3 linked regions of the Lonchura striata genome follow. The protein of the gene in region 3 interacts with the protein of the main gene of each other region in a pairwise test. Links are inferred from orthologs where the notes say so. Each region holds a gene or a part of one and is shown on either strand. Other genes may lie near its edges.

Region 1 (9,722 bases), on a different chromosome or scaffold from region 3:
CTATCCCGGTAATTTCCCGTTCCCGGTCACTCCCCGGTCCAAGGCTCCCCCGTTCCCGGTCACTCCCCGGTCCCGGTCATTCCCTGGTCCCGTTCATTCCCTGGTCCCGGTCATTCCCCTATCCCGTTCATTCCCTGGTCCCGGTCATTCCCCGTTCCCGGTCACTCCCGGGTCCCGGTCATTCCCCTATCCCGTTCATTCCCTGGTCCCGGTCATTCCCCGTTCCCGGTCACTCCCCGGTCCCGGTCATTCCCCTATCCCGTTCATTCCCCTATCCCGGTAATTCCCCGTTCCCGGTCACTCCCCGGTCCCGGCCCCCCCCATCCCGGGGGTCTCTCACGGCTGCTGCTGCCCCGCTCCGCCAGGGGGCGCTGCGGGCCGGTACCGCCCGTCACGTGTCACGTCACGTGCCGCCCCCGCCCGCCTGAAGGTCGCGGCACCGAGACCCCGCCCCCTTCGGGCTGCCCAATGGGATGGCGCGGGGGGCGGGGCCAAATTTTCAATGAGAGCCAATGAGAGGCGAGGGCTGAGGGGCGGGGCCCCGGGACCGGGAACCGAACTGGGACCGGGAACGGGGATGGGAACGGGAACCGGGACTGGAACCGGGACCGGGAACCGAACTGGGACCGGGAACGGGGATGGGAACGGGAACCGGGACTGGAACCGGGACCGGGAACCGAACTGGAACCGGGGACGGGGATGGGAACGGGACTGCGAATGGGAACGGGACCAGGAACGGGAACGGGACCGGGAACCGGGACTGGGAACGGGACCAGGACTGGAACCGGGACCGGGAACCGAACTGGGACCGGGAATGGGACCGGGAACGGGAACCGAACTGGGACCGGGAACGGGGATGGGAACGGGACTGCGAATGGGAACGGGACCAGGAACGGGAACGGGAACCGGGACTGGGAACGGGACCAGGACTGGAACCGGGACCGGGAACCGAACTGGGACCGGGAACGGGACCGGGAACCGAACTGGGACCGGGAACGGGGATGGGAACGGGACTGCGAATGGGAACGGGACCAGGAACGGGAACGGGACCGGGAACCGGGACTGGGAACGGGACCAGGACTGGAACCGGGACCGGGAACCGAACTGGGACCGGGAATGGGACCGGGAACGGGAACCGAACTGGGACTGGGAGCAGGAGAGGGAGCGGGACCGGGACTGAGCCACGGGCAGGGACAGGGAGCGGGACACCGCGCACCCCTCTTGACTCCGTTTCACCCCAAATCGTCCCCATTCGGTTTATTTATAAAATCCCCTCCCCACGTTGCTGCGGGCGGGGCTGAGCTTTCCGTTCCCTGCGGGGGCTCCGTTCCACGGCTGCCACAGGGAGACCCCACACCCGGGGGTCCCCACGTCCCGGGGGTCCCCGCCCCGCGGTTTGTGCCGTGCCAGGTCCCCGCACCGCCGGGGGGGGTCGGTGTCGAGGGGAGGCTCAGCCCCCCCAAAATGGGTCTGTCTGGCAGGGGGCAGCTCCGTGCCCGGGGGGCTCTGGTGGCAACGTCGTCCTTGTCCTGGTCCTTGTCCTGGTCCTTGTCCTGTCCCATCTCCGGGAGCCACACGCTGGATTTCTCCTGCCTTTGAACTTCTTGTTTGCCTGGAACAGTAGGAAAGCTCCGGGGGGAGCAGGGTCTAGAGCACGTTGTGGAAGATCTGCATGGAGCTCATGATGTCCTTGTCCTGGGGAGGAGAGACCAGAGACCCCGCGTCCCCCTCCTCTTGTCACCCTTTGCCATCTCCCCTCCCATCCCCAGCACCCCTCAAATCCTTCTGCCAGCCCCAGCTCCCGTGCCTCTCCTCCTGGCCCTCCTCTGCCATCCCTCCCAGCGTCCTTTCGGGACAGAACACGGAGGAGGAGGAGGAGGAGGAGGAGGAGGATGAAGCCCCCCAGAGCCCCTCACCTCCTGGCACGTGGCCAGGAACTCCTCGAAGGTCACCACGCCGTCCCTGTTCCTGTCCATCTTCTGCAAGGGAGCAGCCAGGGCTCAGCGGGGCGCTCCTGGCCGCAGGGTGGCCCGGAGGTGGCCCGGAGGTGGCCCGGAGGTGGCCGGGGACAGTCTCACCTGGAAGAAGAGCTCCACGTGCTGGGCCGGCGCGCTGGCACCCAGCGCGGGCTCGGTGCAGCGGCCCATCATGGCATAGATGGACTTCATGATCTCCAGCATGTCCTGCGGGACACAGGGCGCTGGCAGGTCCCCGCCCGGCTGTCCCCGCCCTGCCAGCCCCCCAGTGTCCCCCAGTGTCACCTCCTTGCTGATGTGGCCGTCCTTGTTCACGTCGTAGAGGTCAAACGTCCACTTCAGCTTCTGCTGCTCCGTCCCCCGCAGCAGCACCGAGAGCCCCACGGCGAAATCCTGGCGGAGAGACCGTGGAGGGAGCGGGACCGTCCCCCGGCCTCCCTCCCTCCCTCCCTGCCTCCGTCCCTCCCTCCCTCTCTCCCGCGATCGATCCCGGCCGCCCCAGGGATTTCATCCCCATTGATCCCGGTATTTTTACCCCGCACCCGGCCACGGCCTGGGAGGGGAGAGGAGGAGGAGGAGGAGGGGAGGATGTGATGAATCACGCTGCTGGCGCGGCCATTCCCGCCAGGAATTCCCACCTGGAAGCACAGAGCCCCGTTGCGGTCCGCGTCGAAGGCGTCGAACAAGAAGTGGGCGTAGGAGCTGGCGTCTGCGGGCAGGGACGGTGACCGACCCCCGGCACCGGGCGGGGACGGTGACCGACCCCCGGCACCGGGCGGGGACGGTGACCCCGGCACCGGGCGGGGACGGTGACCCCGGCACCGGGCGGGGACGGTGACCGAGCCCCGGCACCGGGCGGGTACGGTGACCGACCCCCGGCACCGGGCGGGGACGGTGACCGACCCCCGGTACCGGGCGGGGACGGTGACCGAGCCCCGGCACCGGGTGGGGACGGTGACCGAGCCCCGGCACCGGGTGGGGACGGTGACCGACCCCCGGCACCGGGTGGGGACGGTGACCGAGCCCCGGCACCGGGCCGGGCACTGCCCGGGCAGCCCCCCGGGGCGCGGGGACCCCCGACTCACCGCCTTGAGGGAAGAACCGCGAGTAGATGAGCGTGAAGGTTTCCTCATCCACGAGGCCGCTGGGACACTCCTGGCGGGGGGAGCGGCGCCGGTGACCCCGAGGATCGCGGGGAGCCCGGATTTGGGGGGCCGGGCCCGGATCCCCGCGCTCACGTTCTTGAAGCCGCGGTAGAGGGACTGGAGCTCGGCCTTGCTGAACTTGGTGCGGGCCAGCAGCCGCTCCAGCCCCTCGGGCTGGTGCCGGGCGCTCGGGAGCTCCACGTCGGCATCGCCGCTGTCTGCGGGGGACCCCGGGCAAAGACCCCCTTAGAGACCCCAAAAACCCATCCCGGGAAAAGAGACCCCCTTAGAGACCCCCCAAACCCATCCTGGGCAAAGACCCCCTTAGAGACCCCCCAAACCCGCCCCGGGCAAACAGACCCCCTTAGAGACCCCCCAAACCCATCCCGGGCAAAGAGACCCCCTTAGAGACCCCCCAAACCCATCCTGGGCAAAGACCCCCTTAGAGACCCCCCAAACCCATCCCGGGCAAAGAGATCCCCTTAGAGACCCCCCAAACCCGCCCCGGGCAAAGACCCCCTTAGAGACCCCCCAAACCCGCCCCGGGCAAAGACCCCCTTAGAGACCCCCCAAACCCATCCCGGGCAAAGACCCCCTTAGAGACCCCAAAAACCCATCCCGGGCAAAGACTCCCCCCTAGGAACACCCCGACACCCCAAAGCCGCCCCCAGCGCCCCACCCCCGCGGCCCCGGGACCCCCGGGACCCCGAACGCGCGGCTGCCGTGCCCGGGGCTTTTCCCGCATTCCCGAGGCACCGAACGTCCCCAGCCGCCTCTCGGCCGCCGCCGCTGCCGCCCGGCCCGGCGGAAGGTAATTAATAAATGATGCTTCATGAATAATTTGAGCCCGGGAAGCCCCTCGGGGCCGCTGGGCGCAGGGGGTGTCAGCACTTTTGGGACTGGGGCCCGGAACGCTCCCGGCGCTGTCGGAGGGGGGAATCCCCAGCTCGGGGTGTGAGGAGTCTCGGGGGGCCCGGGGGGCAGTGGGGGTCCCTGGTGTCAATCCCAGCGGCTTTGGGGGTCACTGGGGGTCCCGTTACCTGCTCCGGGGGGTTAACGGGGCGCAGGGGGGGCTCCGGGGTGGGGGTTCCCATCCTGGATATTTGGGATGGGGGTCCCATCCCCGGCTGCTTTGGGGTGGTCTCTGGGGTGGGGGTCCCCATCCCCAGATATTTGGGGTGGAGGTCCCCATGTCCAGGTGTTTGGGGTGGGGTCTCCATCCTCTGGATATTTGGGGTGGGGTCTCCATCCCCGGCTGTTTTGGGGTGGGGGTCCCCACGGCCGGAGCACGGCTGGGCCGGGGGGGGCTGGGGGCCCTTCCCGTGCCCCCCAAATCCTCCGCCTTCCCCCAGACCCTCCCGGGGGGATCCCCGGTCCTGCCGCCCGGGGACGGCCGCGGCGGGGGCGATCACTCCATTAACTCACTAATTGGCGTTAATTGAGGCCGGGGGGGGGGTACCTTCCACGGAGATGGGCTCCAGGATGCCGAACTGCTTCAGCACGGCGATGAAGAGGAGGATGACCACGGCCACGGCGCACAGCTCCATGCCCTGGATGCCCATGGCCGCTTTTTCTGGGGGGTCCGGGGGTCCCCCCAAACCTGCGGGGCGCTGCCGGTGCTGCGGGAGCGCGGGCGGCTGCTGCCCGTGCCCGCGTCCCGTCCTGCCGCCTCCTCCTCCTCCTCCTCCTCCCTTGGCACTCGCCCACCCCCGGCCCCCCCGGGCGGCTTCCCGAGGTTTTATTTCCACTTCCAAAGAAAGTTTGGGGGTTTGGGGTTCGTTTTTTTCGGGGGGCGCTCCCCCGCTGCCCGCAGCACCCCCGGGCGCTGGGGGCGCAGCCGGGAGGGGCGAACCCGGGCCGGCCTCAGAATTGGGGGGGAAAAGGTTGTTTGGCGTGTCCCCCCCAGCCCACCCAGCCCGCCCCGCCCCGGTGGGATCGATGGGATCGATGGCGATGAGTAAGCAGCGACGGCAGGGGAAACTGAGGCACGGAGGGCGGAGGGGCTGTCCCCGCTCTCCCGGGGCTGTCCCCGGACCGCTGTGCGTGTCCCCTCGGCCTGGGGACACCGGCCCTGTCCCCGGTGTGTCCCTGTCCCCGGTGTGTCCCTGTCCCCGGTGTGTCCCTGTCCCCCCGGTGTGTCCCTGTCCCCCCGGTGTGTCCCTGTCCCCGGTGTGTCCCTGTCCCCGGTGTGTCCCTGTCCCCCCGGTGTGTCCCGGTCCCCCCGGTGTGTCCCCATCCCCGGTGTGTCCCCCCGGTGTGTCCCTGTCCCCCCGGTATCCCTGTCCCCCTGGAGCTGTCCCTGTCCCCCGGTGTGTCCCTGTCCCCCCGGTGTGTCCCTGTCCCCGGTGTGTCCCTGTCGCCCCGTGTGTCTCTATCCCCGGTGTGTCCCTGTCCCCGGTGTGTCCCCCCGGTGTGTCCCTGTCGCCCCGTGTGTCTCTATCCCCGGTGTGTCCCTGTCCCCGGTGTGTCCCTGTCCCCGGTGTGTCCCCCCGGTGTGTCCCTGTCCCACCGGTGTGTCCCCCCGGTGTGTCCCCCGGTGTGTCCCTGTCCCCCGGTGTGTCCCCGGTGTGTCCCCCCGGTGTGTCCCGGTGCCCCCGGCTCCGATCTCCCACCCAAAATCTCAGCACCCCCCCCGTGACCCCCGGGGCCGCTCTGGGGGCGGGGCCACCACGGGGCGTGGTCACGGAGGGCGTGGCCTCACACGGGCCGGGGCCGGGGGCGGGGCTCCGCGGCTGTGGGCGGGGCCGGGCCGCCGCCCCGCTCCTTCCCGCGCCCGCCGCCCCGCCCGCCGCACTTCCGCTTCCGCCGGTGCCGGAAGTGCCGCGGTGTCGCCGCCATGGCCTCAAGGTTACTGCGGGTGAGCGCGGCCCTGCGGCTGCTGCCCGCGGCGTCCGCCCGCGCCGCGCCCGCCCGCAGCCTCGGCGTGCCCGGTGAGCGGGGAGCGGGCGGAGCGGGGGGAGCGGGGGGAACGGGGGGAACGGGGATGGAGCGGGGGGAGCGGGGGGAACGGGGGGAGCGGGGGGAACGGGGATGGAGCGGGCGGGGCGGGGGGAACGGGCGGAGCGGGGGGAACGGGGATGGAGCGGGCGGGGCGGGGGGAACGGGCGGAGCGGGGGGAACGGGGATGGAGCGGGGGGAACGGGGATGGAGCGGGGGGAACGGGGATGGAGCGGGGATGGAGCGGGGGGAACGGGGGGAACGGGGATGGAGCGGGGGAAGCGGGGATGGAGCGGGAGGAACGGGGATGGAGCGGAGGGCGCGGGCGCGGTGTGTGCGCCCGGTGTGACCGCGCCCCGCAGGGAACCTGGCCAGCGATGAGGAGCAGGCGACCGGCATGGAGCGGAAGGTGATGGAGGCCATGAACAAGGGTCTGGTGAGTGCCGGGGGTTGCCGGGGGCTCCGGGGCGGTTCCGGGGTTCGGCCGGCCCCGGAGGGGCGCAGAGCGGCGGAGGGGAGCAGGGAGCTCCCCTTGGGGGAGCCGCGGGGCGTTCCGGGCTTGTTTCGGGGTGCCCGTGGTGGGGAGGGGGTCAGGGGGAGAAGATCTGGGGGTCCCGGGGTGGGGGGTGGCGGGGTCACCTGGAGGGGTGTGCCAGCTCTGGGGGGCTGGGGAGTGTGGCCACAGGGGGCTGGGGGTGCTCGGGTTGGGGTCTGGGGGCTGGGTTTGGAGTCTGGTGGTGCTGGGTTTGAGGGCTGGGGGCTCTGGTGGTGCTGGGTTTGAGGGCTGGGGGCTCTGGTGGTGCTCGGTTTGGGGTCCTGGAGGTGCTTGGTTTGGGGGCTGGGGGCTCTGGTGGTGCTGGGTTTGGGGTCAGGGGGTGCTGGGTTTGGGGTCAGGGGGTGCTGCATTTGGGCTCTGGGGGTGCTGGGTTTGGGCTCTGGGGGTGCTGGGTTTGGGGTCAGGGGGTGCTGGGTTTGAGGGCTGGGGGCTCTGGTGGTGCTGGGTTTGGGCTCTGGGGGTGCTGGGTTTGGGGTCAGGGGGCTGGGTTTGGGGTCTGGGGGCTGGGTTTGGGCTCTGGGGGTGCTGGGTTTAGGGTCAGGGGGTGCTCAGCGCCCGGGGTGCCCCTGCCCGCAGGACCCCTACAGCATGTTCCGGCCCAAGCGCTACGCGGGCACCAGGGAGGACCCGAACCTCGTGCCCTCCATCACCAACAGGCGCATCGTGGGCTGCGTCTGTGAGTGCCCCCGGCCCCGCGTCCGTGTGTCTGTCCTGTCTGTGGGTCCATCCCTATGGCCTTGTGTCCATCCATCCCCATGTCCATCTGTCCGTCCTGTGTCCCTGTGCCCATCCCTGTGGCCGTCTGTCCGTCCCCGTGTGTGCATGCGTCTGTCCTTCTCCTGCCGGTGTGCACGGCCCGTCTGTCTGTGTCTCTGTCCTTTTCCTGTCCGTGCGTCTCTCCTCCCACCCGTGCCTGTCCAGGCTGTCCGCGTGTCCGTTCCTGTCCCTCGTCCGTTTGTCCATCCCCTTCTGTGCTTGTCCCGTCCCTCTAAACCTGTCCCCATCCCACCCTGTCCCTGTGTCCCCTGTCCGTGTGTCCCACGCCGTCCCTGTGTCCCCAGGTGAGGAGGACAACAGCTACGTGGTTTGGTTCTGGCTGCACAAGGGCGAGGCCCAGCGCTGCCCCTCCTGTGGCGCCCACTACAAACTGATCCCGCACGAGCTGCCCCACTGAGGGACCCCGCCCCAAAAACCGATCCCCATGAGGGACCCCGCCCCACAAACGGATCCCCACGAGGGACCCCGCCCCAAAAACGGATCCCCACGAGGGACCCCGCCCCACAAACGGATCCCCACGAGGGACCCCGCCCCACAAACAGATCCCCACGAGGGACCCCGCCCCACAAACAGATCCCCACGAGGGACCCCGCCCCAAAAACCGATCCCCATGAGGGACCCCGCCCCAAAAACCGATCCCCACGAGGGACCCCCCCCACCATCTGATCCCTGCTGAGGGGCAGGGGTCCCCTCCCGGGGTCCCCCTATAAAGAGTTTGTGTGGAGAGCTGCCTCTGTCTGTGCTGGGGGATGGGGCCGTGGTGGTGTCACCGTGACCAGGGGGGGACGTGGGGGTCTGGGGGGACACCACGGCCTGGGAGTGGGATTTGGGGTGGGGGGACCCCGTCTGACTGTGCCTCTGCTCTGGGGCTGGGTGGGAAAAGCCCCCAGTGGGTCCCGATGCTGCTTTGTCCCCTTTGGGTGTCCCCAGCCCCAAAAGGAGCCCCTGGGCACTGAGGGGGTGGGTTGGTCCCAGGAGGTCCCAAGTGGATACAGGAGGTGCCCAAAGGCTCCCAAGAGGTCCCAAATGGCTACAGGAGATCCCAAGTGGCCTCAGGAATTCCCTGGAGGCTCCGAGGAGATCCCCAGAGGTTCTCAGGAGTTCCCCAGATGCTCCCAGGAGATCCCCAGAGGTTCTCAGGAGTTCCCCAGATGCTCCCAGGAGATCCCCAGAGGTTCTCAGGTGATCCCAGGTGGCCTCAGGAGATCCCCAGAGGTTCTCAGGTGATCCCAGGTGGCCTCAGGAGATCCCCAGAGGTTCTCAGGTGATCCCAGGTGGCCTCAGGAGATCCCCAGAGGTTCTCAGGTGATCCCAGGTGGCCTCAGGAGATCCCCAGAGGTTCTCAGGTGTCCTTTCAGGGTGGTCCCCCCCGGGCTCCCTCGGGCGCTCTCCCGGTTCTGCCCCGTGGGCCCGCTGGGGGCTCGGGGCTGACGTCGCCTGTCCGACCTGCGGCCCCAGCGCTGCGGGCCAGCTGTGACGTCATGGATGACGTCACGCTGCATGGCCATGACGTCATGCATCCCCGGCTGGAGGGGGCGGAGCCTGAGCGCCGCTGGCCAATGGGGGCGGCGGGAGGCTGTGACTGACAGCAGCGAAGGGCGGGAATTGCGCGCAGTGAAGGGGCCCCGGGCCGCATTGGCCAATCGGAGCCAGCCGTGGCCGTGACTGACAGCCGAGCTCTGCGCCCAATGGAGGGGAGGGGGCTGCGGGGCGGGGCCCGGGCCCGGAGACCAATGGGAGGCGTGGCGATGATGACCGACAGCTGGGGGCGGGACTCGGAGGGACGGGATTGGAGGGGAGGGGGCTGCGGGGCGGGGCCAGCGCTGGGTGGGCGGAGCTTCGCCGGGGGCGCGCGGGGACGCGGCGGGCGGGGCCGCCGGCGCACGTGACGGCGGCGGTGCGGCGGTGACGTCAGCGGTGTCGCAGCGGGGCCGGAAGCGGGCGGCGCGCGGGGCGGGCGGACAAGATGGCGGACGGGGACAGCGGCAGCGAGCGCGGCGGCGGCGGCGGCGGCGGGTTCGGGACCGCCCGCGGCGGGGCGGGGGGGGCCGGCCCGGCCGCGGGGCCCGGCGGCGGCGGCGCGGCCGGCCCCGAGCAGGAGACGCAGGAGCTGGCGTCCAAGCGGCTGGACATCCAGAACAAGCGCTTCTACCTGGACGTGAAGCAGAACGCCAAGGGCCGCTTCCTCAAGATCGCCGAGGTGGGCGCGGGCGGCTCCAAGAGCCGCCTGACGCTCTCCATGGCCGTGGCCGCCGAGTTCCGCGACTACCTGGGCGACTTCATCGAGCACTACGCGCAGCTGGGCCCGTCCAGCCCCGAGCAGCTGGCGCA
Region 2 (9,970 bases), on a different chromosome or scaffold from region 3:
TAGGTCTTAACCTTGTGAGTTGCTCTGGAGTAGCAGAATTTTATGGACAACTAAACAATGTATGTGTGTCTGTTTTTCTGTTCTAGAACAGCTACTTGTTTTTGGCTATTTTAGAATTTAGAAATTCTGTTGGCTGGGCACAGTGATTTGTGTAGCTTATCATTTTCTTGGGAAAGTTTATTTTTCACTTGAAGATTTGAGACCTAGGTAGGACATGTTTCAGCTGGAAAAACTGTGAGGCTATTATAGCATAACTTTGCTTCTTGCATGTGAAGACTGGCCAGTCTTTTGTATGTGGTCAAGTTTTCTAGGTTGAAGCAGAGTAAATTATATTGAGATATAATGAAGAAACCTGGCTGTAATGTGCTTGTGTAGTTTTTTCCTTTTTTAATGCTAAAGGGAGAGGCAGCTAGGGTCTAATGTTTGTCTTGGGAAATAATGATGTATGAAACCTTTTCACAGTGAGATCCAGTGGTCTTGCAAGTCTTGAATGAAGTCTCCTGTTAATTCTGATTCTAAAATTGCTTTGTTTTCTTCTGTACATCATTGTGCTCTTCTGCAGGCCAAAACTGGGGGTAATGTCCAGAAGGATATCAGGTGTCATGCAATACATGTTTTCAGTAGAAAGCAGGACTAAAGAAGATCAGGGGTCTCAGAGCAAATTGTTAAGGCTTTTTGCATGCTAGGTTTGTACTTATCCTTCTGGTTTTCTGACAAGCAAAGCAGAGTAGATATGCAGCCCACAGATCTTTGAGGTAATTGAAAACATACTGGTCTGCCCACAAAAACTAGACTAACTTGTGTATGTGTAGCAAGACAGCTCATCCATTTAAAAAAGATCCTAAAAAAACAAACAAAAAAACCCATAAAAAATCCAACAACCCCAAAACACTAGAAGAGGCTCTTTTGGCCTTGGAGTAGAATCTAAGCAGAGCCACACTCTTGAGGTCTATAGCCTTCATAGTTCTGCTTTGGTTTTATTTTATGAGCGGATTATCCTGTCTAGACTCCTGCTTTGACTTGGATGCCAAAATAGAAGCAATAAAGCTAGCTGGCCGCTTAGCAGGTGACAAACTTTCTCTGAAGTCCCCTTAATTTGTTAGGGCCCATTTCTCAGTGCTGCCTCTCCTGACTTACTCCTCAGTAAGTTTTGCAAGTTTCAGATACAGCTCTGCTAAATTTAGCCTGCCAGATGCCTTCAATAAACCCAAGCTCAGCTATCAGTTACACAGAGATCTGTTTCAGGCAGGCACAGCCCTCTGGGGAGAGACTTGCACTATTTAAAGTTGAATGAGACTGAGATTCTTACAGCATTAAGAACGGTGAAATTCGCTCTTTTTCTCCCTGATGCTGTTTCTAAACTAGTGTTGGGCACTTGTTATTCCCAGAGAGTGAATTTACGTTTCCTGTTGAACTGTAGCTGGAAATTGGCTGCCTCTTGAGCTGTCATTCTATATAGCAGTTCTCTTTTGATATATGTTGAGAAGCAAAAGTCAGTCTTAACATAATTAGCCTATGTTACTTCCACCAGTATCAATGTAAGACATTGTAGGAAAAATAGACTGTTCAAATAATGGCACTGTAAGCTGCAGACAGAGCAATGCAACTGCAGCAGGACTAACTAGATTGCATTTGGTCCTACAAAATGTGTGAAGCTTTTTCTAGCCAGTGCCTGGAGGATCTTGGGACGCTGGTATGCAAGAGCAGGAGTGTTAATGCCAATGTTCTGGGCATGCATCCAGTTTCAGGAAGTGGTGCCTGTCACCTCACTGAAGTCACACTTCTGTTCAGATTTGGTGGATCACTCTTCACTTCCGCTCTTACATTGCTGGGCGGTGTTGCTGTGTACTTTTAACAGATAACAGCCTATGCACCAGCAACTGATTCCCTTTACTAGTGAATTCTCCAAGTGTTTTTTTTCCCAGTGACCAAGTCATGGAATGTAGCAGTTGTGAAAAATGCTGAATGTTTCTTGTGAAAATGTAGTCCTAGGATATGTCAGGAAAATGCTTCTGGTAGTGACATGAAAAACTTAGTGGCATTGGACAAGACAACAGTGTTTGGGGCTGCTGTAATTGGTTTTGGTTAGCCATGTTTAAGGAAAATCAACTTTAATCAGAAGGAATGTAAGGAAGAGCTAGTATGACAATAGTGGGAATTAAGAGCTAGTCTTACAGGAAAAGGCCAGGAGCTTGGCTTTAGTTAGAAGAAAGGTATGAAGAGATCATGATAACCCTCTGAAAAGGTCTGTGCAATGGTGCCCATGATCTCCAGGCAGCATAGAGGTACATTTGTGTACACTGGAATTGCTAACTGAGAATAATGGTAGCTTGGAAACAGCCTTACAATGGAAGACATTTAAGTAGCTTCAGAATGCTGGTGTTCCATTGAGGAGAGGGTATGGATTTGTTGAACACTGTAGAAGTAAAAGGCCTGACATGCTAAGCCAGGAGTCCCTCAATCCTCTGTGGTAAAAATAATTGCTTGGGATGGGGTGACTGGCTTGTCCCAGAAGCTTTGACATCTGAGATGGTACAATACAATAGTACTGTTGACTATTGCATCTTCCATGGAGTGCCATTTGAGCTGTGGGGTGCCAATAGTAAGTGCTGATCTTCTTAGGAATATTAGTGGCATCATAGAGTTCAATAATTTGTTATGGGAGGGCATGTCCCTTCTGGGCATTTTGGGTTCTTTATACATATTTATGTTCTCTCGTATGATAATTTGAGCTTGTAATTTAATTTTCTGTTTTGCCAACAGCAGAGGACAAGTGTTTCTGGTACACCTTCTGCTAAGCTGGAATGGACAGGGCTGGCCTAGTCAGACCTTAAGCTGACATAGTAAACTGAAGTTACTGATTTGGCTGGGACTTCACTTGAAGAAGCAGGACTAGCAGTAAACTGCTGTTAAAAGCAATCAACAACCCCCCCCAAGCTGCTTGCTTTACTTTGGTGAAAATAGGGGAGTGATAATTTTGAGTCCTTTGTTACAGGTGCTCTTGGCTATTTGGAGTAGTTTTTTCAGTCCTTAGGATCAAAGTGCAGGTTGTTCTATGAATGACAAAGTGTAACACAATATCTGTAGACTGTGTTCACAGATGTACTGGATAATCTACATCCCTGTGCTCCTCTTGCACTGTACTTCCAGTTTAAACTGAGGTGAACTGGCACTTCTGCTCAAGAACCGATTAGTTCTGCCTATGGCAACTTCTTTTCTCTTCTTCATTCTGGCAGAGGACTTGTGTGGTGAAGCCAGTCAGGGGACTGATATGGGTTAAAACTAAACTTTCCTTTTTTTGTCCAGGTTAGTTTTAATTAGTGTTAGTTCACCACATTGTTGCACAAATGTTTGTGCCAGCAAGAGGATGGAAATAAGTGGCTCAGGGACAGCAAGACCACTGCTTTTGGCAGCAGTGCCAGCTTTTCCATGATTTTACTCAAGGCCTCAGTGGCACTTTTGCCATGCTGTCCTCAGGCAAAACCATGAATTCTCATAATGTGGGTCTTCCTTTCCATGTTCTTACTTAATTTACGTATTAAATGGTTTTATGCATAATAGATGTGGTGCTGATTTAATCAGCTAGTGCCAAACATTAAAGTAATTAATGGTTTGAGTACAGGCTATTTAAACAGATATGTTTAAGGTATTGATTTATGCTTCCTGCAGTGTTTCTCAAACCTCTTTCATATTATTCTCCAGGGGAAGATACTGTCCCTGGTTTAATTCATGCAAGGACAAACCAGATAGTGACGGAGCATAGGAGACAAGCAGCAGGAGATGGCAGGAGGCAGCAGTGAATGTTGCAAGTGGTGAGAGATAGAGGGGGGAAAGTCCAGGGGCTTGAGGAAATGTGTCAGCAAATGCCTTTTAGCCAGCTACTAACAGAGCTCACCTCTGATGCCAGCCTCAGAGATGATGTCTTGGCTCAGCAGCTCCCAGCCTTAGACTCTGCTTCTGCATTTATTTATTTATTTGTTCTCTGTCTGAAACCTTATTGGTGAAGATCCATTTTCTGGCCATTTTCCCTTTCTTAGCCATCTTGTCCTGGCTGTCTGTGGTAATATATTTTTGTCCTGTTGCACTGTCGTAATAAATATTTCATAGTGACTATCTTCTAATGCCTGGTTTGTTTGATTAGTAACTAATTAATCTTTAAATAATATTAGAAAACACTGCCTGGTGATGGTCTGTGTCAGGGATTTTTGCTCCAAAGGAGACATGGTGTATAGCAACTGTTACGAGTTCATCATGCTAGCATTGCTGATCTACTGAAGCTTGGAACTACTGATACTTTTTTGTATCACCAAGGTTTATATTGTGTTATTCAGAGAAGTGGTCTAGGCTTTCATTAACTGAGTATGAATGTGAAGTTTGTCTCTTCCCTTGCTGACCTCCTGCGCTGCAGCTCATCTGACCTAGCTGGGCACTTGAGACCTGCTCCCTTTGATTCCTACTCTCATGCAGACTGCAGCAAAAGGGACTCTTCAGGCATCTTCTCCCTCCTAATACGAGATTACTGAGATGCTCTACTCCAGAAAAACTCTTTCATGGACACAAATATACCCAAGAACCCATATGCCACAGTTTTACTCCTGCCTTTTGTGAGGACAACGTAGCAGCACTGCTGGCTGGGATCAGAACTTGCCTTCTGTGAGCCTGAAGAAGCCCTGCTGTGCTAAGCTGAGCAGTTGTGCCACGCTGGGCATAAAACAAGTACTACAGTTTCTCCACCATCTCATAACTTTGATTGCATGTTTATTTACACTGGGAGTACTTCTGTAGTGAGAGAACATCATCTTTATTAGCTCGGGACTTATATTGTGTTGGAATATAATTCTCAAAGGGACTTGTGCAAATGGCCATACATGAAAGGAATCTTGAGAGCAAATGATATCTTTAATGCTGTTTGGGTAGAAAACAATCTGGTTGCCCATAATAATTCAGTAAAACAGGACTGATATGAACCAAGAACTGTGGGCTTTTCTAATTCCATGTGCACTGGCTTTCTACATATTTTGGTTATCATTTGGGAAAAGATTTTAATTATCTTGATCTTTTTATTTTTCATTCTTGTAGTCATTGTTGAAACTGCTTGCCCTTACCCAAGGGTAACTAATCTCTTTAATTTTATTTTTTTTTAAATGTTCTTCTGTGTGTATAGTATTTCTGTCAGGAAGTTAGTCTTAGAAAAGAGAGAAGCTTGGTCTGTTTCTTCTTAGTATAGTTCAGTGTATTTTAAGGTTATGGTTCTGCTTTCAGCAGGAAGAAAGTTTTCAGTGATGATCAAAGTAGATGCAGATATCACCTTGAGAAGGGCACACTTGCATATTAACACGCTTAATATATTTGTTGCATACAGTACTTTTGGTTTTTAGAGACAGATGTCTAGTAAGGACTTTATCTAAGTGTAGGCTTTATATTGAAAGGTGGTAAAATTGAGAATGTCTTTGAAGCATGGATAAGGACTTCATTTCCATGGTCTGTTCTAGCTTCTTGTTCCTCCCATATTTTCATTGGGGTTTTTAATTTTTTTTTCTTGTCATCTTGATGGTTAGAGGGGAAATGAGTGGGATAATGTTAAAGCTAATACTTCTGTAGAGATCCATGTTCTCCTGTCTCCCAGCCAGTAAAACCACAGATATACAATGGTACAATAGTGTTTAGTGTGGCCTGAGAAACTTCTGACTGTAGAGAACTGACTGAAACTAGATTAGGGACTTAAATCAGCCACCAGCATAAGACTTGATTGTATGGGTTGGATGTGGCAGTTCCAATATGTATTGAGCTGACTATTAGATGGGACAGTTCTCTAAGGATAAGCAAAATAATTGATCTTGGGTGTCCTTAAAAATGTTGCTGTATGTCAGATGTTAAGCATGTTTTGATTTGTTCCAGTAGCCGGATCGAGCTGGGAGATGTGACGCCACACAACATTAAGCAGCTGAAGAGGCTAAACCAGGTCATTTTTCCTGTCAGCTACAATGACAAATTCTACAAGGATGTACTGGAGGTTGGCGAACTTGCTAAACTAGGTACAAATGTTCTTGCCAGTAATTGTGGGCTGTGGTGGCAGAAGTGGTCACATTGCTATCCATAATGGTTTTGAATAGCTGCTCCTTCTATTTAGTTGTTTTACATCATGAAAAATAACTGTTTAAGAACCTCAAAGAAGCCACAGAGGGTCTGGATTCTAAATAGATTACGTCCCACTGGGAATAGCCATTTTTGCTGTTCCAGAAGAAAACAGTTGTGCATTGCCAACTTACCTTGTGATCTCATTGCTGGTTGGTGTGAACAGTGGTGAGCAACCACTGTGTCAAAGCAGCACTAGTTACTTCATTCCATGTGTGAATTCACAATGTATGTTATTTTATCTGGATGGGAGAATGAACGAGAGGGGAGGGAGGAGAATATAGGGTGTAAATGAAAGAGCTGTATGTGTAGTTTGAGACTTGTTACTGATAAACCTTTGTTTCCCTCTCTGGCAGCCTATTTCAATGATATTGCAGTGGGAGCAGTGTGCTGTAGGGTGGATCACTCCCAGAACCAGAAGAGACTGTACATCATGACACTTGGATGCCTGGCACCCTACCGAAGGCTAGGAATAGGTAAGGAGGGTCTTTTTTTTTTTTTTATCTGAGGCACCAAAGAAACCAGGTTGCTGTCTAGCTTTCTAAATGCTCTTTCAGATTTTTAACCAAGTTAGTGCACTCTAGACTATGGATTTTCTTTGGAAGGGACTTGGGGGAAAGAGTATGATTTATCATGTGCTCATTCTTCCCTACCTTTCAGAAATGAACCTTCTGTAGAAAATTTTACTTCAGGATTTCAGATTATTTTAATCATATTATCATACTGTTATGTAAATACTCTGCTTCTGTGGATGTGAAAATTGTTGCAGAGAGAGATGAAATAATTTGTCAGAGATATGTAGATAGTATGCAAGTCACACATAAGTAGAGCACCACATTCCTTCATTGGCTTCTCTCTTCACTCCTCTAAATGTAGGGGCTTTATATTTATTTTGTCTTTATCACTACTGATTATTGCTGCTCAGGGGTAGCACCTGCTTTTTGTCTATATTGCATTTAGTTCTTTGCTCCACATTGCAAAGCCATAGGACAGATTAATCATGACCTGCAGTAACCTGTTTACCTTGACAAACTGGATTGAAAAGATAATTTTGTTTTAAATTATTTTACTAGGTCTATAGTAGAAAAAGCTTACCAGTTCCCTCACTGCTTTATACAATATTTCGGCTGTATTTTGAGCTGAGTTTGAGACCTTGAAACTATTAAAATAGCATTAAAATAAGCTGATTTATAAGTATGTTTCTGGTCTGTGACTTTTATTTCTTCTTCAAAGAAACAATTAAGTAAGGTTTATGAGCAATCTGAGACAGAATGAAATACCTACACATCATGCTTTATTTGCCTTTCCTAGTTTTCACACTCTATCATTTTAGTCTATCTACAATTAAACTGCCTCTCCTCAAGGAAGCACCTAGCTAAGTACAGACTAAATTGTGTCCTAGTTTTCTTAAGTATCTTTTTATCTTTTGGCAGGAACTAAAATGTTGAATCATGTCTTAAACATCTGTGAAAAAGATGGCACTTTTGACAACATCTATCTGTAAGTGAATGAGTTACACTCATGCATTTTTTGAGAAATTATAAAGGTAGATATGGGAACAAAGTGATGGAGATTCAAGTGTGGGTTTAGTGTATATTTTAGTGGGGTCATAGAATATCTTGTTAGTACTAGCAGGAAAGACTGGGGTCATATTCTGGGCTTGTTGTGTAATGCTGAGAAAACCAAAAGCTGCTTGATTTAGAAAGGGTTCTGCAAATTTGCTGAATTTGAAAGCAATTTAGTTACAAAATTATGTTCTAGAACAAAATTACATGGTAAGACCAAAAATCTTTTTTAGAAAGGATTTTATTTTTATCATACAAGGTCATCTTCAGAATGGAAAATACTGCAAGTCTTGGATGCAGTTTTGATGCATTTGTTTTCTGTCTTTTATGACAGCACTCTGTGGGTTAGAATATTAGAGATGTTTGCAAGCACTGAAAGTTTACTACATTCAGTAATAAGGCCCTACTGCTATTCTCATACTTGCACACTGCTAGGTCAGCTATTTGTTCAGCAGCACAATAAACTAGATGAGTGCCCTGACCCAGCTGGGGAAACTATTTTCAGTTTTGTTTCTGGGTGTTATTTTTCATTCTAGTATGTTTTTGGGGTTTGGGAGTGGTTTTCTTGTGCTTTGTTTTGGTTATTTTTAAAATCAACTGCATGTCTGTGAAAGCACTTGGCATGATGCAGGCAAGAGAGCAAGCACTGGGGTAGAGGGCAGTGCCAGTATTCCCCTGGAAAGGGAGTCTGAAATCCATAAATGTCAAAATTATGCTTTTCCTTTGCTGCTGGTTTCACACTTGTGCTTTTTGCTGTGCATTGGTGTCTGTGTGGTTACCAAGTGAGCTGATGGCAGTTTTTGTCTTGATCCCTTCTCTGAGCCAGCTCCTTCTTGTCTGTCACTGCCTTGGCCATCACACCAGTGCCAGCATGGTGCACTGCTAGGGATAGGCCCACGGCAGGTACAGCTTGGATGGACATTCACTGCCGCAGAACTACATCCTGAATACTTGCCAGACCTGTGGAAGATGCTTTGTGAGGAGTGTTTCATACACTGGTATCACTGTAAATGGAGTGACTTTCTCCTCAAACTCTCCTGCTTCTGCCATGGAGGTGCAGACTCTTCCATGTCCTTTGCTGTTGTTGCTTTGTGCCATCTCTGTAAGAGGAGTGTGTTTTAAAGAGGTGTCTGAGTAAAGTTACTCTTGGCTTGTACTCCTTCCTGCCCTCCTGCCTCAGGATAAGTGTTAATTAACTCTCTTTGAGATGCCTGCATAATGGGACAGGGGCTTTCCTTTTTACTTTTGCATTTTACTGTGTGCACAGTGAAGGAACTGCTTGCTGATTCTAACCCTGCCCCAAATCCTTCATAATCCTTCTTTACGGTTCCTAGACCAAGGATTCTGGCATGACAATTAATAGCCCCCAAAATTGTGCTAAAGTTCTTTTAGTGGCCCATTGATTTTATTACTATGTCTATTACTTGTGCATCTTCTATTTGAACATATTAGGCAGTTTAGTACCAAATTTGATTTCACTGCCTAAATTTGTCATTACAATAAAGTTTAGCTTTTAGCTTTTTGCTGCTTATTTGGTTTAACACTAAGATCTTTTATTTTGTTCTGCTGTTGCTTCCACAGTTACTTTGGTTCTGTGGTTATGCAGTGTGTTGTCATGACAAAGTGATTCATGAAGTTGTGAAGTGTCTGCTGAACTTTGGGAGTGTCTAATGAATGCCTTTTGTTAATCCAAACATTTTTATTTCTTTTTTCTCTTTCTTATTTTTGGTTTGTTTTTTTTTTTTTTTTTTTAATAAGTGAAATTTGTGCAGATAAATATCCTAGTCACATAGGATAAAGAACTGACAGCTGTTTGTTTTGGAGACCTTGAGATGTGCTAGCAAAATTTGTAAAACTCCAGGGGAAGTAAATATGAGGGAAATGGACTTTGCAAACCATAGGACTGTTTTGTATTACAGCTTTTTGTAGGAGACAGAAGTGGTTGGAGTAGAGCAAGGTGTTAAAATCATATCAAACACCATTGCCAGTTGTATGTTACAGTGTGTCGGGATCATCGCTGAGACAACTCTTCTGGTCATCTGCAAAGTGTTACTACAGGAGGTTAAAGTTGTCTTTACAGTGAAACTCTGTTACATATTTCCACTAAATATCTGCCATACTGCTTTATCAATATGAAGAAAAATTGAAATTACAGAGGTAGTAATGCTTCAGAGTCTTTCTGTTATCTTGTGTTCCTTGAAAGTTTTACTGAGGGGAAACATTTACTTCTATTGACAGCCATGGGCCATCCAGGAGCTGAGTGTTAGCCC
Region 3 (9,686 bases):
GGTACGTGGGTGCCAGTGGAAAATAAATAACATGGTATTTTCCAAGTGGCAGATCTGAAGGCACCCTGCTTTCCTTGCTTTGCATACTCACAGAGCACCATCCTCTCTGCTTCCCAGATATGAAAGGCGAGGCAGAGACATCTGATGGGGCTCCAGCGCTGACTCACTGTTTGATGTGAGGCAGGAGGAGGGATGTGATCAGATCCCATTGTGCAGAGCATCCACCAGACAACGCCAGCAGCGGGAGGAGAAGCGATTCCTCATCCTCATCCTCCAAACCCTGCTGTCACACCTCGCTGTGCCCTGCCCCACCTGCAGCAGCCAGGATGTCACCTCTGAAATGGTTCCTGGGTGGTGGATCCCCATCCCTGGCACTGTCCAAGGCCAGGCTGGATGGGAGCAGCCCGGGCAGGTGGGAGGTGTCCCTGCCCACGGCAGGGGTGGAACTGGGTAACTTTAAGGTCCCTTCCAAGGCAGCCCGTTCCACGGGTCCCTGATTCCGTGATTAGGCTGCGTGCAGACGGAGCTGAGGCCGCTGCAGCCCCGGGGTGTGCCGGCTGTGCACGCCCGGGGTTCTTTCTCACGAGATGGTGCAAGAGCCGGGGGGGAACTGGTTAAACAGCGTGAGCTGCCGGGGCTTGGCAGGGCAGCGTGTCACCGGGGAGCCGGCGTGTTTCATTAAACACGCTATCAAAGTGGGCTAAAGTCTCTTATTAATGGCCACACATTTTGCCACTTCCAAATAGTTTCCACCTACATGTTCCTCCCACTGCCGCACTGGGTGCTGGCAAACATCGCAGCTCAAAGAGGGGAATGGCTTTCATTTGAATAGTCCTCGGGCGAGTTTCGCTGAGCGATGCCAGCGTCATTCCCGCAGCTCTCACGTGCCCGGCAGCGCTCCAGGGTCGTGCCGGAGGGAGGGCGCACAGACAACAGCTCCTGCTGTGTTTTCCCAGCGCTTTATCCAGGCAGAGCCCGTGGCAGCCTAAACCGGTGCAATTAAGCAGCGATGGATGCGCGTATTTGCAATGTTCAATCTCGGCTTCTGACTCGTGACGGTCCCACGGCAGCGAGCGCGGCCAGCTGCGCCATCGAGAGTCTCACACAGCTGAACCCAGCCGGCCTCACACCAAATCGGGCTTTTGCAACTCCCAGGAGGCTGAGGCGGAGCCCTGGTGGGTGTCAAGCTGCTCCTCACGCCCTGCGCTGAGGTCCCACGGCGTCCCTTGGGACCGGCCTTGGCTCAGGGGTGTGGGCTCTGCCACAGCCTCGGGCACGGGGCTGGGAAAGGAGAGGTGCGGCTCTCCTGGGAGCTGCTGCCTGGCCACATCCCCCCTGCCCGCACTCTGCAGGACCACTGCCCGCACATCCTCGGGGATGGAGGCGCTGCCCGTCCCCGCCGGAGCCTCCGCTCCGGCCCGGGAGCGCAGCGGAGCCGTCCCGTTTGCTGAGCACGGAGAGAGCCCCGCTCCAGCTCTGCCGGAGCCAGCCTGGCTCCCGCTGGGCTTTTCCTGCTGCGGAAAGCACGGGGTGTTCCTGCCGGGGCCGAGGATGCCGAGGCGGAGCGCATCCCGCTCCAGCCTCGGCGGGGCTGAGCTTTCACCTCCGGTGCCAGTAACCCGAGCCGGGATTGCTGGAAATGGGAGAGGGGAGAGTCAGCGATTTGATTACAGGCCACAGGCACATGCCTGGCCTTCATGGATATATTAAGTAAGAGACATTTTAAAACAAAACCACCCTCAGTAACCTTATCGTAAGCTCGAATCCACAACCCATCTGTTAACTCCCGGCGCTGCCCACATAGGCTTCCATCAGACAGCAGTGCCAGGGATTTTTGGAACGTTTTCCCCCAAATCCCTGCGGTCGGAAGGGGACAGTCCCGGGGAAGGGGCAGATCCTGAGTCTCGGATTCCCAGCCCACCCCCAAACCAGCCCCCAGACTCTCACCTTCTCGTGCCTCTGTAAATAGCTGCAAATCCCCTTGGACAGAGCTGTCGCGGTCCTGTGACTCCCAGCCCTGCTGGAGGAGTGCTCAGGAGAGCTGCTGCTCCACGGATGGCTTGAGGGAATTCAGCCTTTTTAAACATTTTGGTACTGCCTGAATCGTGTGGTGTAAAGGAGCCCTCCATGTAGAAATAATTCAGCAAACACAAGCGAGAAGGCGAATTGATGATTGCATCAGTCCTTGCTCATGAAAACTGATCCCCGGGAAAATGTAACTCAACTCTCGAGCAATCTCACTTGATGCCCAAGAATGCAATAACTTCATTTGGATCCTCCTTTTTAGGGGGACTCCTAAATCCTTGGCAACGTCCCTTAAGGTCATGAGCAAATCCTGATATGGAGAATTGTTTGGCAAGCACGAGAACAGTAAAAGGGCTAAATAATTGGGGATTACCTCTGACCCTGATTTGTGGCTCACCACCCACTGCAGGAATGTACCGAATATCTGAAGGAGCATGCAGGAGTCAGACAATCCACGGGCATGAAGCCGTCCACGTACTCTTGGAGCTTGAACTTCGAATGCAGAGCAGGTTGGCCCCAAACCTCATTTTTCATTAGCAAAAGGCTGTAGCAAGCTCTAATTATTTCTGTTGCCTTGGATGAAGGGTCAGTGATGGGACAGATGAAAAATTGCCTGTGTTTTTTTCACTCTTTGTTTGGAAAAGAACAGCTTTGGTCTTGGGGACACAGAGAGAGCAAACCCTCTGCTCCAGGGCTCGATACTGAGGCTGGTTTTGGTCCCCTGAGCTGCAGCAGGGGAGAAACCATCACCCTCATGTCCCCTGATGCTTCTTGCCGAGTTTGTTCAGTGCCTGCAGGAAAGAGCAGCTCTGCTGTGGGAGGTCACAGCTCTGCTGTGGTTCTGTGGCACTCCGAGCTCCGTGCTCAGTCCCAGCTCCTCTCCTGCACGGCGCCGGGGCTGTGGCACCACAGAGACCCTCAGGGTCCTGCCCATGGAGGGGGTTGGATTGAGAAGTCTTTAAGGTCCCTTCCAAGCCAAACCATTCTGGGATTCCATGATCTTGGCCATAATCACCGGGTTTGCAGGCTGGGATGTCAAACGCTGGGAGGACCATGTTGAGTGGGACAACCCAAACATCTGTTCTGTGGAAGCCCCACGTCACTGATCCAGTGCTGTGGTGTTCACACTGGAGGTGCTGCTGGGAGCTTGTAGGGGAGATTTGGGGGTTTTATAGACCTTGCATGTATGGCTAGCATCTTTCTGAGGCTCTGACTTCCCTTGGGATTCTTCCTGGTAACAACAGACACCTTTGGGCGGGGGTAAGCCTCAAACAGCCTGTCTCCATCACCCATCTAAAACCTCTCTGTGCTGTCATGTAGCACCTCCTGCCCTCGGATTCCTGCCAGGGTGGAGCAGCCAGAACTCTGCAGGCAGTAGCAGCAGCTCAGTGCTGGAGCTCTGCTGCTCCCTTATCTTGGTAAATGCACCTTTTATCAGCTAAGCCTGCCTCTACTTGCTCAGCACTCAGCAGGGAAGTGACCACGGCCCTCCAGCAGAGCTCTGCCTTGGCAGGTACACACAAACCATTGTCATCGCTCGGCGTTGTGCAACCGCTGGCGTCCAGGGGCTGGCACGGGCATGGCATGGCATGGCATGGAAGGGTCTGGGCTGGGGGGACCTTAAAGTTACCATCATCCACGCCCTGCCATGCACAGGGACACCTTCCACTAGACCAGGTTGCTCCATGCAACACTTCCAGGGATGGGGCAGCCACAGCTTCTCTGGGAACCTGTGCCAGCACATCCCCACCCTCACAGGGGAGAATTTCCTGCTGGTCAAAGAATCACAGAATGGTTTGGGTTGGAAGGGACGTAAAAGCCCACTTCGTTCCAGCCCCCTGCCATGGGCAGGGATGGATGCCTTCCACTGGAGCAAGTTGCTGCGAGCCCTGGATACCCCCAGCGATGGGGTCCTCCCACCCCAAAACTTCCCTGCAGCACTGCCACTTCCCCAGAGCCACATTTTAGCGACTCTCACTTTATTTCTTCCCCCACATTTCCAAACTTTCCGTGGCTGCAGCTTTCTCTGTGTCCGTGTTTTGTGTCTGTGTCTCTTTGGGGGTGTTTTGTTGTTTTTTTTTTTTTCCTTTATTTTTTTTTCTTTCTCCCCGATCTCGGGACACAACAGCGGTACAGCATGGTATGGCAGGGCACGGCATGGCACAGCATGGCACGGCATGGCATGGTATAGTATGGCACGGTATGGCAGTGTATGGCATGGTATGGCACAGCATGGTATGGCAGTGTATGGGATGGTATGGAGTGTATGGCATAGTATGGCACAGCATGGCATGGTATGGCATGGTATAGCACAGCATAGCATGGCACGGTATAGCACGGCATGGTATGGCATTGTATGGCACAGTATGGAGTGTATGGTATGGTGTGGTGTGGTGTGGTGTGGTATGGTATGGTATGGTATGGTATGGTATGGTATGGTATGGTATGGTATGGTATGACACGGTATGGCACAGCACATAAGGCAATATATGGCACGGTATGGCACAGCATGGCACGGTATAGCATGGTATAGCACACCGTAGTATGGCACGGTATAGCACGGCATGGTATGGCATTGTATGGCACAGTATGGAGTGTATGGTATGGTATGGTATGGTATGGTATGGTATGGTATGGTATGGTATGGTATGGTATGGTATGGTGTGGTATGGTGTGGTATGGTATGGTATGGTATGGTATGGTATGGTATGGTATGGTATGGTATGGTATGGTATGGTGTGGTATGGTGTGGTATGGTATGGTGTGGTATGGTATGGTATGGTATGGTATGGTATGGTATGTAGCATGGCATGGTATGGCACAGCATGGCACGGTATAGCACAGTACAGTATAGCAGTGTATGCCCTGGTATGGCACAGCAAGGCACGGCACGGCACGGCACGGCACGGCACGGCGCTGGCACAGCACGGTGCTGGCACAGCACAGTGCAGCGGTGGCACGGCATGGCACAGCACAGCACAGCACAGTGCAGCGGTGGCACTGCCCGGCACTGCCCGGCACAGCACGGCACAGCACAGCACGGCCCGGCCCGGCCCGGCCCCGCCGCGCCGCGCCGCACGTGCGGGGGCGCGGAGCCGGCCCGCCCGGCGCCACGTGAGGCTCATGTGACGGCGGCGGGGGCGCGGCCGCCAGACGTGCCGGCGGTCACAGGGCTCCGCGCGTCGCTCCCGTCCACCCACCCGCCCGCATTTAACCCGGCCCGCGGCCGCCCGCCGCTCCTCAGCCCGCGCGGCGCGGGCGCGGCATGAGCAGCGGCGGCGGCGCCCGCAGCCCCTGAGCCCGCTCCGCCGCGGCCCCGCCATGGAGCGCGTCCCCGGCGCGCAGCCCCCGCCCGGCTGCCTGGGCAAGCTGCCCGCCCTGGAGAGCGGAGACCTGCCCGGGTAAGCGGGGCTCGGGGGCTCGGGGGGCTCCGGGGGGAGCGGCGCCGCCGGCTCCGGCGCGGGGCTAACGCGCTGCTCTCCTTTCGCCCGTGCAGGCTGGACTTCGCGCACATGTACCAGGTGTACAAGCCCCGGAGGGGCTTAAAGAGGAGCGAGGACAACAAGGTGAATGGGGGGTGATGGGGTACAGTGAGGGGTGAGAAGGTAAATTGGGGATTAACGGGGTAAACTGGGGGTTCACGGGGTGAGTCGGCCGGTGACAGCGCTCCCGGGGCGGGGGCTCGGCCGCTCCCGGCGCGCTCGGGACGGGAGGAGCGGCGGCAGCGGGGCCGGGCCGGGCTGTCCCCCGCTGTCCCCCGCTGTCCCCCCGCTGTCCCCCGCTGTCCCCCCGCTGTCCCCCCGCTGTCCCCCGCTGTCCCCCCGCTGTCCCCCCGCTGTCCCCCCGCTGTCCCCCCGCTGTCCCCCGCTGTCCCCCGCTGTCCCCCCGCTGTCCCCCCGCTGTCCCCCCGCTGTCCCCCCGCTGACCCGCTGCCCCGGCCCCGCAGGAGACCTACAAGCTGCCGCACCGGCTGATCGAGAAGAAGAGGCGCGACAGGATCAACGAGTGCATCGCGCAGCTGAAGGACCTGCTGCCCGAGCACCTCAAGCTGACGGTAGGTGCGAGCGGAGGGACGGGGGGAGCTCCCAGCGCTCTGCTGCCGCTTCACCGCGGATTTGGGCTGGGTTTGGGGTTTTTTTTATTTTTTATTTTTTTTCCACCGTGGTGCCGCACGCCCGGGCAGGCTGTAAGCGCGTCCCAAACTTCCCCGGGAGCTGCGGCTGCCCGCCGGACCGCCCCCGACACCGGGCGAGAGCTGTCCCCGGCCGGGCCGCCCCGGTCACGCCAGGGGCGGCAGGACCCAGAAATAAAACGCTTCTCTCCGGGCTATGCGGCTGGTCCGAAAGTACCCACAGGGTTCCGTGAGAGCCTTTTCCGTAGCCGGCTTTTTAACTTATTTCCGTGCAATGCTGCCGGCGGTAGTCCCGCCTGCTCCGGGTCTCACCGTGCCCGTCCTCCCGCGGCTCCCGGGGAGGCACCGGCGGCTCCTGCGTGCCTGGCCGAGCCGGCGGCGGGTGCCAACCTGTCCCTGTGCTCCCAGACTCTAGGGCACCTGGAGAAGGCTGTGGTTCTGGAGCTCACCCTGAAGCACGTGAAGGCACTGACCAATCTCATCGAGCAGCAGCAGCAGAAGATCATCGCTTTGCAGAGCGGTTTGCAGGCGGGTGAGTGTCCGGCCGGCAGGGTGGGAGCCCGTGTGTGTGTGATGGGCTTTCCCTGGGGAGCCTGTGAAATGTGCCTGTGACACCCTGGTACCGAGAAGGGAGGGGACAGGAATTCTGGCTTTTCCTGCTGTCATTTTCTCAGGCTTTGCTCATGAGCTTTCACAAAAAATGATGCATTGCTCAAGATGGTCAATGCAGAGTGCCCTGGGAGTTGTTTGAAATTAAACTGGGTTTTAAGTAGTTTTAGTTGCAGCCCAGGTTTGCAGTGAGGTTCTCTCCAAAGCCATTCGATTCTTCCCATTTGTGCTTGTGACGCAGTCTGGTTTATTTGGTTGTTTTTCTCTGAAAATAGATATAAATCTGCTTTCTATACACACCTTTTTAAGTGTGTATAGAAAGCAAATAACCTTAAGCTTTTTAAGTTTCTTTATAACCGAGCTGGCCTGTGCTCTGCAGGCAGAGGGGACCCGGTGCTTCAGCTTATCAGCCTTAGATGCACTTCCTCCTGCTGTTTTCACATGTGGCTCTCACGTGAATCAGACACAGTAAACCCGAATTTTTGGGAGGTGCCGTCCCTGCCCCGGCAGCCACAGGGAGTGCAGTGGAGCAGTGGAGTCCCCTGGGGCTGGTGGAGCTGCTGGCAGGGCCGGGAGCTCCCTGCCCCGAGGTGCAGGGCGAGGTGCCCTGCCTTCCCCGGGGGTTTCCTGGAGAAGCCACAGCTTGACTCACTCCCCTCCCCGCACTCCAGTACCTGTTGAAGGTGGATTTTACAGTAAATAACAAAAAAAAAGCAGGCAGCACTTTACGTGAACTTTTTATGTAAAAGCGGACAGGTGGATGTTCCAATGGAATTGTCCATTTCTGCAGAAATCTGGGGATTTCTGTTCATAGACTCCAGCTTGGCCAGTGCTTTCCCCTCTGGCCGTGCTGTAACCCAAGTCCAGCGTCGCCTCCGGTCCGCCTCGGAGCTGGAAATGGAACTATTTAGCATGTTGTTAATTTTTAATTTCTTTCTGTTAATGTTTCCTTAGGTGACCTGTCATCGAGAAACCTTGATTCCAGCCAGGAAATGTTTCGATCCGGTTTCCAGATGTGTGCCAAGGAAATGCTGCAATACCTGGCAAAGCACGAGAACGGCAAGGAGCTGAAGTCGTCGCAGCTGGTCAGCCACCTGCACCGGATGGCCAGCGAGGTGCTGCAGGGCGGGGCCGCCCGCAAGGCCGGGGACATCCCTCCCAAAATGCTGGACTTGAAGGAGAAGCCGGCGCCGCTGGGCGCGGCGGGCGAGGGCCACGGGAAGAACTGCGTGCCCGTGATCCAGCGGACATTCGCTCACTCCAGCGGGGAGCAGAGCGGCAGCGACACGGACACGGACAGCGGGTACGGGGGCGAGCTGGAGAAAAGCGACTCCAAAGCGGAGCAGCCCTATTTCAAAAAGGATACCGACCTCAAGTACGCTGTCCAGGAGAGAATAAGCTCTATTAAGCAAGAGACTGAGGACCCGCCGGCCAAAAGGAGCAGGCTGGAGTTGCCGCAGGACGAGGGCCCTTTTGGCAGTGACATGATGGGCTCTTCCAGCAGCTTCCTGGGCCCCCACGCTCACCAGCCTCCCCTGTGCCTGCCTTTCTACCTGATCCCGCCGTCCGCCACCGCCTACCTGCCCATGCTGGAGAAGTGCTGGTACCCGGCCTCGGTCCCCGTGCTGTACCCCAGCCTGCCGGCCTCTGCCGCAGCTCTGACGGGCTTCATGAACCCCGACAAAATCTCCCCCCCTCTGCTGATGCCCCAGAGACTCCCTTCTCCTGTACCGGCCCATTCCCCCATCGACTCCTCGGCTCTGCTTCAAGCTTTGAAGCAGATTCCTCCTTTGAACTTGGAAACCAAAGACTGAGCGCAGTGTGACTGGTTTTTCTTTTTTTTTTTTTTTCTGTTTTTTTTTTAGTTTGAGAGACTGTTTCACTTTTATATATTGGCTGGACTGAGGTGTGGGGACAAGGTTCACTGTGCGTAGGAAGCTAAATCCCTTTTCTCTGACTTGTCAGGTAGCTTGGAGAGGGATGAAGGATGTGCCCAGGTTAGCGATTGACAACTGCTTCCAAAAGATTAAAGAAGGGTTTTGTGCTTGGCCCCTTCCCTTCTTCCCTCTCCACATCTACAGAACAACAGTTGACTCGGTCAGCTGCGAATCTATTGCAAAACTGTGAAGAAATATTCCATTGGGCAGACCTGGTTCTAGGGTCTGCAAATACAAAATAAGTGAATATAAACCATGGTACTTCCCTGAGCGGCTCTGGAGGCAACGGCCCCGCTGGCTCATCTGGCTGGACTGGTGCCCCAGTGACCCCGAGCGTGGCAGGGTGGTGGTGGCAATGCCACCACGAGCACAGCAGGAGCAGGGCAGTGTCACTGGTGGTGGTGGCAATGCCACCACGAGCACAGCAGGAGCAGGGAAACATCACTGTGGTGTGGTGGTGGCAATGCCACTGTGAGCACAGGAGGAGCAGGGCACTGGTCACTGCAGGGGCAGCAATGTCACCAGGAGGAGCAGGGCAGCAGTCACTGCCTGGTCACACACAGGTCAGGCAGACCTAAGAGAGGTTTCTCTCCACACCTTTACTTTTAGATAGGTATTTTTTTAACAAATAAAAGGTAGCTGCTGCTTGGAGCTTTCCATGGCGTTCATCTAATAAATAAATTAACCTGTGCCCTTCCTGTAACTCGAGCTGCTACGTTGGGCCGGCTCGGGAGGAGCCGTGCCCGGGATCTCCCGGTCGGGAGGAGCTGTGCCCGGGATCGGGAGGAGCCGTGCCCGGGATCGGGAGGAGCCGTGCCCGGGGTCTCCGGGTCGGGAGGAGCCGTGCCCGGGATCTCCGGGTCGGGAGGAGCTGTCCCTGGGCTGGTTTCCCTGCTGGCACCGGCTCCAGCCTCTCCCCGGGCAATCCCCGCGGCGCTCCCGGCCGGGCAGGTCGGGCTCTTGCCGGAGGGAGCTGGCAGTGC

Evidence for each region.
Region 1: the proteins of BHLHE40 (region 3) and COX5B interact in binary tests that used the Homo sapiens proteins (3 or more experiments, as listed by UniProt). The two-hybrid records come from large-scale screens. The link is inferred for Lonchura striata from reciprocal best matches to the Homo sapiens genes BHLHE40 and COX5B.
Region 2: the proteins of BHLHE40 (region 3) and NAA50 interact in binary tests that used the Homo sapiens proteins (3 or more experiments, as listed by UniProt). The two-hybrid records come from large-scale screens. The link is inferred for Lonchura striata from reciprocal best matches to the Homo sapiens genes BHLHE40 and NAA50.

Annotation. Positions count from the first base shown.
Region 1 is NC_134634.1:5,221,400-5,231,121, reverse strand, and holds COX5B (cytochrome c oxidase subunit 5B, mitochondrial), read left to right. Parts: upstream 1-5,925; 5' UTR 5,926-5,957; coding exon 5,958-6,051; intron 6,052-6,420; coding exon 6,421-6,494; intron 6,495-7,190; coding exon 7,191-7,290; intron 7,291-7,675; coding exon 7,676-7,788; 3' UTR 7,789-8,115; downstream 8,116-9,722. Other genes in the region: calsenilin, read right to left, coding at 1,648-1,695, 1,917-1,979, 2,079-2,183, 2,262-2,369, 2,615-2,685, 3,062-3,131, 3,215-3,339, 4,581-4,683; PURB (transcriptional regulator protein Pur-beta), read left to right, coding at 9,358-9,722. UniProt on the Homo sapiens protein: Component of the cytochrome c oxidase, the last enzyme in the mitochondrial electron transport chain which drives oxidative phosphorylation.
Region 2 is NC_134604.1:28,276,784-28,286,753, reverse strand, and holds the start of NAA50 (N-alpha-acetyltransferase 50), read left to right. Parts: upstream 1-5,863; coding exon 5,864-6,035; intron 6,036-6,491; coding exon 6,492-6,611; intron 6,612-7,568; coding exon 7,569-7,635; intron 7,636-9,970. UniProt on the Homo sapiens protein: N-alpha-acetyltransferase that acetylates the N-terminus of proteins that retain their initiating methionine. Has a broad substrate specificity: able to acetylate the initiator methionine of most peptides, except for those with a proline in second position.
Region 3 is NC_134614.1:23,079,739-23,089,424, forward strand, and holds the start of BHLHE40 (class E basic helix-loop-helix protein 40), read left to right. Parts: upstream 1-5,308; 5' UTR 5,309-5,346; coding exon 5,347-5,426; intron 5,427-5,521; coding exon 5,522-5,591; intron 5,592-5,971; coding exon 5,972-6,079; intron 6,080-6,565; coding exon 6,566-6,689; intron 6,690-7,720; coding exon 7,721-8,580; 3' UTR 8,581-9,686. UniProt on the Homo sapiens protein: Transcriptional repressor involved in the regulation of the circadian rhythm by negatively regulating the activity of the clock genes and clock-controlled genes.